Callithrix jacchus: one gene and its partner. The protein of the gene in region 1 interacts with the protein of each later gene in a pairwise test. Links are inferred from orthologs where the notes say so. Each region holds a gene or a part of one and is shown on either strand. Other genes may lie near its edges.

Region 1 (4,534 bases):
GGAAAACTTCAGTTCTCCAGCCTCTCCCACCTCGGGAAGGGTCGCTTTTAAAGCACTGTTGGGAGGGGGCATTTAAGCTCAATCTTTTGGGCGCGAGGGACCCTAGGGGCACCATCCCTCGGGCGGGTGTGTGGCCACCCTCCCCTCAGAGCACCTGGTAGATCGGGTTGGGGTTCGCACCCGCAGGGCACTGCGGGGCGTCGTCCGGGGACTGGGTGGGGTCGCCGCTCTCTCCCTCGCTCGGGGCGGCAGCCTCTGGCCCGCGCGGAGGCGACTCCGGGGGCGCCTCGGCCAGCAGGAGTGCGGGCGCCGCAGGGCTCTCGGTGGAGATGCGCTCCACGATGCTGGACAGGCAGTCTAAGCTCGACACCGCGACACTCTTCCCGGGCCTGGGTTCTGCGCGGGGAGGTCTCGGTTAGTAAGCAGGGGTGGGGCCGCGAACAAGCCTCCCACCCCGGGGCCCGGTGCTTTGAGACAGATTGGAAACTGAGGACCTGTCAGAGTCCGGGACGATTGAAAGGAGAGGGAGCTACTTGCTTAGTATTTCATCGCCTGCACCACCTCCCAGAACAGAAGCGTGTGTGAGTGGGGGTGGGGGTGTCCTAGATAGGGGGAAGCCAGGACAGCTCCAAGGAGGACGTGGGGAGAAGGAGAGAGCAGGGCGAAACCCGGAATACCCACCGCTGGGCGCCTCGCTGTAGTAGGCGCCTTCGTAGCAGTTCCGCCGCCGGGCGCCGCTTGGGGGGCCGCTGTAGTCCATCTGCAAACAGCAAGGGCGACTGAGTCAGGCCGGCGGGACGGCGCGGGACCCGAACACCACTCCCTGTACTGCCCCCTCCCTAACTCTAGACTCAGTCTCGAGTTCCCGGCCCAGATCTGTCATGGTTAGGGGATAAGGGTGGGTAGGAGATGAGGTCTGCAACATGTAGAGCCAAACCAAGGGTGGACGGTCACCAAGGGGGCAAAATTCTACATTTTGGAAGTAGGGATAAGTAGAGAAAAAGATCTTCAAGTCCACGCTGCAGTGTTCCAATAGCGCCCCCAATGGGGCGGCTTAAACGCTTGCCCGCACGCTTCCAAAGCAATTAGGCTATCCCGGTGACAGCTGCCCAGGACACAGGGGTCCTCTCTCGGGATGGATCCTGGCCCAAACTTCCAGGAAGGATAGCTCCCTGCCCTCGGAAACGCGTCCCAGATGTCCCAAGCGCCGCCCTCACTTCTACTCCCGCCTGGGGTCCCGGCCTTACCATGCCGTCCGAGCAGTTGGAGCGCGGACTGGACGCGTCAGAGTCGCCGCTGTAGTGCTCTCCGCTGCGGCCTGGGGGCAGAGGGCCTGGCGCGTAGAAGGCGGCTCCGGCGCCAGGGGGCGCGGCGTCCTGGTCCCGCAGCAGAGCCTGCAGGCCCTCGATATAGCGGATGGCGTTGCGCAGGATCTCCACCTTGGGCAACCGCTGATTCGGGTTGCTCGACGTGCAGCGCTTGAGTGTCTCAAAGGCCTCGTTTACTTTGCTCAGGCGGCGCCGCTCGCGCATGGTGGCGGCCTTGCGGCGGTCGGCGTTGGTGGTCTTGCGCTTGCACGCCTTGCAGGCCCACAGTAGGCACCGGCCCGCCTGGTGGTGCCCGCTGGGCGCGCGCACATGCTCGTCCTCACGCTCGCCCGGGGCCGGGTGCGCTGCCGCGGGGAAGTGCGAGTGCTCTTCAGGTTTCAGGAGCGCGCCCACGTGCATCAGGCGCGGGTCCAGGTCCTCGAAGAAGCGCAGGTCCGGGGAGTCGAAACACGGGTCGTCATAGAAGTCGTCCGTTGTGGCAAATGAGCAGAGAGAGCCGTCAGGGCCCGTCAGGTCTACATCGCGGAGCGGTGGTGACAGTAGCTCCATATCCTGGCAGGGACGCGGCACGGTCCTGGCTTCGCCCAACCCAAGCGGGAGGGGGTGACCGGAACTTTCTGCCGCTCGGGAGCACCGGCTGTAGATAGCAAAGGGCTGCAAGTCTGAATGCACACCCAACTGTCCCCACCCCTCCCTGTCCCGTCCCGCCTGATTTGTAGTAAGGAAAGTGGAGGCAGCGCGCTAGGGCTTCCTCACCCCTAGCTGCGCGCCTGGCGCCCTGGGCTATTTATCAGTAGTAGCCTAAACGCCCCGGAGCCCAGGCGGGCAGCTGGGGGCGGGGGAGCCCGAGGCCAATAGAAACACAGCGGGGCGGGGTTTGGGGGGGTCCTCTGGGTGGCCGCAGGGGGCTGCAGAGTGGCCAGCCCGCCCGCCCCTCGACACTGGCGCGCGCGCTCCGTCCCCTACCGGGCAGGGAGGGAGGGAGCGACCGGCAGCCCGGGCGGCTGCACTTGGCTCCCAGGCAGGCCCATTTCAAACCTCTCCAGCACTCGACTGCTGCGTCCGCTGGAAACGTTGGCTGCGCGCACTCACCACTGAGCTGACGTTGAGTACTCCTCTATCCCCTGCTTTGTGGGGGATCCAGGGTTAGAGCGGGTGTAGAAATCAGGTCGCGAGAGATTTGGAGAGAGGCAAGTCACTGGGGGCACAGAGCTGAGAGAGTGAGACGGTGAGAGAGGGACCGAAAGAGACTGAGAGATACGCAGAAAGCAGAAAGCTTAGAGGGTCAGGGGCAGAGAAACGCACGCAGCAACAGGCGGAGAGACCCCGAGAGTTTAAGTGGGCGAGACCACTTAAACGAGTCGTGGAGGCTCTGATACTCCACCAGTTCCCGACCTGGGAGTTGCTCAGGGGCTCTTGGGCCCAGTCCTTCTTCCCTAGAAGCTTGGAAACCCAGCTGCGGCTATGTAGGAATCGGGCATTGCTGCTAAAGCTTCGCGCCAATCTCTCCAAACTCTGATCCTGCGCAGGTTAGGATCTCGTTCATCTCAATCTGCACGTTTCCACAGCAGGGGTGTCCAGTGCCAGGCCTGGGGTCTAGGCTGAGCTGCCTCTTCATCTGGGAAGAAAACTCTTCTGCTCAGGGCTTGGTTCCACCTCACCCGCGGGTGCTGAGTCAAGGAAAGTGCCTTCCGCCAAGGTCGCAAACTTCAGGACCTGGCCTGAGAATCTGACCTCGGAGTGAAGTCTCTGAGAGTTCCGTTTGCAGATCAGTTGAGTCCATATTCCAAGTTTCCCAACTTTGTGATTTTATAGAAGTCGTGTCTCCTTCCTGAGCCTCAGTTTCCAGTTACAGATTTGGGGATGACAGTAATTTCTTGGAGTAATTGCGGTGGGGATGAAAGTCTGAAAAGACCAAGGATATGGAAGCCCTCAGGCGGTGGTGTAGGGTTATGCGAACAACAGGGCTTTCAGAGTTGGATGCTATGTCCTGCAAGCTTACAACTGGTGCATGGCACCAAGCCCAGACAGAGTCGAACACAGTCTCCAGGCCCCAGCTGTGTCTCTTTCCTACAGCCTCACTGGAAAGGCTAGAAACAGGAGGAGGCAACCACCCCATGGGATATGGGATCTCAGCATACCAGCCTCAGCATACTCACCACCCCCATGGGGGCCTCTCAGCCTCTTTCTGAATCTGCAGTTCACACAGTCCTCTGGGCAATCTGGGTAGGAATCTCCATTGACCATACATCCCTGCCTGGATCTCCCCTCTTGGAAACCAGAAGGTTAAGCAGGAGTGATCTTTGTGTCCCACTAACTTCTGAAAGCCATCCTGGCTGGCCCTTCTGGGCCCTGAGATGTCCTCCTTTCCCACCAAACCCAGAGGGCTCTTTTGTGGTCCTACCTTTTTCGCTTCTCTGCTGCTGGTAGTGGTGCTGCAGGTCTCCCTTCATGAAGTGCTCACCCAGCTTTACTCCACAGGACCACCTTTATTTGTGTATTCAGTAATGTCTATGTCATGGAGCAGCAGTGATGGTAACTCCAAATCCTGGCAAAGGCAGAAAAGTCCCGGAAATTCACATATTGTTAAGTATCCATTATATGTCAGGTGCCAGTCCAAGTGTGGGGCTAGAGCAATGAACGAAACCAAGACTCTGCTTACATGGCACTTACACTGTAAATGTAAGCAGGGTGACAGAAAAGGAACTAATAAGGAAGTACGTGATACCAGGATGTTAGAAGCTTTACGAGGAAAAAGCCAGGCAGGGGAACACAGTGATGAAGATTATGGAGTGGATAGGGAAGGCCTCTCTGCTACATTTGAGCAGAGACCTGAATGAAGAGAAGTGGAAACAGATGTCTGGAGATATGCAGGGCCAGATAGAAGGGTAAGCATGTGCAGAGGTCCTGGGACAGGATTGTGTTTGGCAGATTTAAAGTATGGCAAACAGGCTGATATGTCTGCGGCAAGGTGAGTGAAAGGGATAGTGGGAAATGGGTTGAGAAAGAAAAGGGTTGTTTTGTGAGATGGAAAACTACTGGAGGGCTTGAGCAGAAGAGAAGAATGTCACCATCTGACTTAGGTTTTAACAGGCGCATGCTAGTTACTAGAGGGAAAGGGCAGAAGCAGGGAGACCAATTATTAGGCTATTGCAGTAATCCCAGTGAGTGGAGGTGGTGGAAAGTGGTGGTTGAATTCGAGATTT
Region 2 (4,371 bases), on another chromosome or scaffold:
AGCCAAGCCTGGGGGCGATTGAAAAGTCCGGGAAAGCGCGCCCGTCCCAGCCCCGTCCCGTGAGGTCTGGGGGTGAGTGGGGTTGGGAGGTTCCAGGTGTGGAGGTAGGCGAAGCCAAGCAGGTGTCAGGAGCCGGGGCCAGGTGACAGCTTAGTTCCCCGGGCAAACAGTAACCCTCAGGTGTTTCTGCCTTCCCTTAAATCTGAATATATTTCCCACGTTCTGAATTCTGTGCAGCCTCTTTTCTTCTCCCGATTTACTTTCATTTACTCCAGAGAACCGTTTTAATGCCCAGACAGGTAGCCCTGCCACACACACTCCCAGTACTCACAACCACACCTCATTCTTGGCTTTAAACTCAGCCCTAAAGCACAGAACCAAGCTTTCCCTTGAGGACTCAAGAGGCACTTCTGTGCCCAAAGCCTCCCCAGTCCCTGTGAACTCAGCCCTCTGCCTCACCACACATCTGATAAGGAGATTCTCTGTACACAAGCAAAGGCTTCAGGGGTGGTGGTGGGCGGGGGGATGAGGGAGAAGGGGATAAAGAAAACTGTGTGTGTGTGTGTGTGTGTGTGTGTGAGAGAGAGAGAGAGAGAGAGAGAGAGAGAGAGAGAGAGGAGGGAATGCCAGAGAGATCTTAAAAACCACTCGGAATTCAGGTACTGACTTCAGACATGTTTTATTATAATCGTATACAGTCTACATAAATTTGAACTTGTATTTATTTGGGTTCAGTTATAACATAGCATAATAAAAATCAAAGCACTGGTCCTCTGAAATAAAGCAGGCAATCACCATTCAATAAACACACTGATTTATTTTGTATAAAAGGGTTAAGTTTACAACTAAACTTTTATAAAAAGTTTAGCAAGAATAAGTACATCATTACACTTTTTAATGCAGAAATAGACATCTCTGCCACTATACAAGAAAACTCTAATTAAAGAGTTCACAAGGTTTCACTCAATAGATATATTTATATATAAATATATACACAGCATTCAGTAGGCTTGTGTCAAAAAGGTAATTTCTGACCAAAAGACTTCATTTAAGTGACTGAATACTGGATCCTTCTGCTATTCACGCTCCACCTTTGAAAAAAGGCAAAGTCTGCTTAGATTGGGCAATTCCTTGTGATTTTAACGTTTTCGCTCCCCATGGTGGGAATAGTATATAAAGAAAACCTTCCGACTGCAGAAAGGGCATTTAAAAGTCTTTTTCATAAATAACGAATATCACAGTCCAGGTCAGAGAACACCCTGGGAAGATGATCATTCTTAGTTTTCCTTCCATTTTTTTTTTTTCTTTTTAAAAAGGTCCATTCAAGTTGTCCTCCTTGCGAAATGGTTGAAAAATAAGTTCAGCACTTAAAAGATTCTGTGGATGTGTTGTTGTTGTGCAAAGAAAAAGAAGCCATGAACACCTGCAAAGGATTGGGAGAGAAAGGCACGTTTGAGAGAATGCAACCGAAGGGCAGAGGCGGGCGGACTGGCGCCGGGAGGAAGCCGCAGTTTGAACATTTAACCAAACACTCAAAGATTGGGCAAACCCTGGCGTCCAGATGCAGCACACACACTCGCCTCGACAGCGCAAATTAAACATTAAAATAGCAGAGACTCAAGGGAAAAACTTCCCAACTCAATCTCCTATTTGGATCTCCAACAGCAGTGCTACAGGCGCCAGTCTGCTTCTTGTAACAATTATTTGATTGAAAACAGCCCTTTAGTTAACAGATAGGGAAGTCTGGGATCCCACATCACAGGCTCTAAGGCACAGGGTAGCAATCCTGTGCTAGCCCAGAGAATCCCAGAGGACTCTAGTTTTAGGGAAGGAGGATCACTGTGGAATTTGTGGCGATAAGATTAATTACAGTGGAGGTTAGTACCTCATAGTACCAGAGGAATCGTAGGAAGAGCCAAGGCACCGAATTTGCTACAAAGCCGATACACACGTTCCTCGGCCGCCTTCGTAGTAAGTTATTGGCATCATTTCCTTTTAAAGGAAACGTTCTGTGATCTCGAGTACCCAGAGCTACAGGCTCCTTAACGTCTAGTGAGAATGCAGTACGGTTGACACCGCGAAGTAAGCATGCACTTACCAAATCAGACGTTTCATGGATACACAAGCACCCTCACACAAGCAACACACGCGCGCACGCACACACACGGAGGGGCAGTTTACCCACGGGTGGCACAGGCAAACACTCACCGCATATTCAGCCACACAGTGCCTTGCTGTCATTTGACATTAACTCGGAAGGGAATTCAGACGCCTGGAGAGAAAGGATAAAGGGTACGAGGTTAAGACAATGTTGAGTAGAAAAGGCTTTTTTGTTTTTGAAGTAGTCCACAGACCAGCAAATTCCATTAAACACGTTTATGGTACCAATTCAGATTCAAAGACAGATACATCCACATGTCAGAACTTACTAGCAATTTCACGCACGGCTCAGTCTACAGCAGCGTTTTAAGAAAATAAAGTTAAATCGCTCATGCGAAAGTCACTGTCTGGGCTACGGATCTCCTAGTGACAGCCCAGGCGACCGCGGGAGTGTGCGGCGGCGGCGGGGCGGGGGCCCCGGGCAGGGCTTACCTGCAGGGACAGGATGCTGATATCCGTGTTGAGGGTGGTCAGCGGCGTCCGGGACGTCTGGCTCTGCCCGGGTCTCTGGTGATGCAGGCTGACAATAGTGGGATGCGAGTCCAGGGCGATCTGCAGGTCCAAGATGTAGTCGATGACGTGCTGCAGGATTTCCATCTTGCTCACCTTCTTGTTCTGGGGGATGCTGGGCACCAGCTCCTTGAGCTTGGAGTAGCAGTCGTTCATGTTGTACAGCAGGCTCATCGGGTCGTCCACCGGGGTTTTGCTCCGGGAGATGCCCAGGCTGTGGTCCGACAGGCTGCTTTTCCTAACAGACCTCACGGGACTGAAGGCTTTCATGCTGGCCGCAAGGGAAGGCGAGACCGGGAGGGAGCTGGCTGCCCTGAAGCTCAGGCCGCCGCCGTCGCCTACTGAGCTAGCTGCGCTTGGCTCTGGGCTCGGCTCAGAATGAAGCCCGAGCCCGGCGGGGCGGCTTTTATCAGCACTCGCCGGGGCCACACGCTCGGGCTTCCCTTCGTTCCCATTGGCGGAAGGTGGAGCGTCCATCAAGCCGAGCGGGCGCTTCCATTGGCGGGCGCGGGCGCGGGGCAAGGGCTCGGTTCTTCCGCGTTCGCAGCCAATGCCCGGGGGGTGGGCGGGGCGCGAGCCCAGCTGGGCAGTAAATAGAGTACAGTACAGAAAGCGCGGGGCGAGCGGGGAGAAGGGGAGAAGGAGAGTGGGGGGGAGGAGGGGGAGGAGGAGGAGGAGGGAGGGGGTGGATGGGAGGGGGGAGGAGGAGGGAGAGGAAAGGGGGTAGGAGGAGTAGGAGTGGGGGGGAGGGGGCAGACCCAGGGAGCCTAAATGTACATTCTTAATTCTAATTCTAAGGGCGAGGCAAGACCTTCGCCGTGGGGGTGTTCCCAGACCAAGCCTTGCACACCTTGGAGCTGTCGGCAGCCCTAAAAATCACAGCGACAGGGGCAAGTTCAGCGCCGCAGCGGGGAAGCCTCAGTTCACTGCAACCCCTCGGAGAGAGAGCGTGAGGAAAGATAGAAAGCATTTCAGAAGAAAGTGAAAACGCAAATTAGGTTGCCACTGAAGAGTCACGTTTGTAGAGTGAGTTCGTCTCTTCAGATAAGGAAAAGTTATGTTAACACAAACAAACCACCCACGCACGCATTCGACGACAGGTTTAGTGTGGGCTTTTGCAACCCGGAGCAGCGCGGGAGGCATTACTGTAAGCTCAGGAGAATGAGTTCTTATTGGAAACCATGCCCAGCCTCGCCGGTCGGTCGCTAAGGAGCTCTCCCAGGCAGGGCGCTTTCAGGGTTCCTTTTCAAAAAGGAGGCAGGGCTATTCTAATGATCGTATTAATCGGAAACCATTAGGAGAATTTGCATATTGAAACTACATTTACATACACTGCCCTTGAAAGGCTGCCGGTCTGTGCCCTTCAGAGTAGGTGGCAAAGTAATGTGATTAATTATGTACGAATTGTGATTTCTGGTGTCACATTCCAACACCTAGAGGCGTTCCAAGGTTTTGTGACTGATAGGTGGTCCTAGCCATTGACCGACATCTTCGCACTATTTATGAAAAAAAAAATAAATACTCTGTCATGTATGAGGTTTGGAATTTTTTCAGCACTAGTGCTGAATAGAGGTTCAGGTATTTTTTTTTGGCTGAAAATCTTTAAGAACTCGTTCTTTTAGTCTATTAAAAAGTTTGCAGCCATTTACTCAAATACCTTGTCAATTCTCACATAAGTCTAGCTTATCTAGAATTCTGTCT

Evidence for each region.
Region 2: the proteins of MYOD1 (region 1) and ID2 interact in a two-hybrid assay, tested with the Homo sapiens proteins (2 studies listed by BioGRID). The link is inferred for Callithrix jacchus from reciprocal best matches to the Homo sapiens genes MYOD1 and ID2.

What each region holds. Positions count from the first base shown.
Region 1 is NC_133511.1:83,727,833-83,732,366, reverse strand, and holds the start of MYOD1 (myoblast determination protein 1), read right to left. Parts: upstream 2,955-4,534; 5' UTR 2,724-2,954; intron 2,541-2,723; 5' UTR 2,421-2,540; intron 1,966-2,420; 5' UTR 1,878-1,965; coding exon 1,248-1,877; intron 761-1,247; coding exon 682-760; intron 397-681; coding exon 146-396; 3' UTR 1-145. UniProt on the Homo sapiens protein: Acts as a transcriptional activator that promotes transcription of muscle-specific target genes and plays a role in muscle differentiation. Together with MYF5 and MYOG, co-occupies muscle-specific gene promoter core region during myogenesis.
Region 2 is NC_133515.1:106,259,628-106,263,998, forward strand, and holds ID2 (DNA-binding protein inhibitor ID-2), read right to left. Parts: upstream 3,051-4,371; 5' UTR 2,941-3,050; coding exon 2,593-2,940; intron 2,273-2,592; coding exon 2,216-2,272; 3' UTR 2,209-2,215; intron 1,424-2,208; 3' UTR 664-1,423; downstream 1-663. UniProt on the Homo sapiens protein: Transcriptional regulator (lacking a basic DNA binding domain) which negatively regulates the basic helix-loop-helix (bHLH) transcription factors by forming heterodimers and inhibiting their DNA binding and transcriptional activity.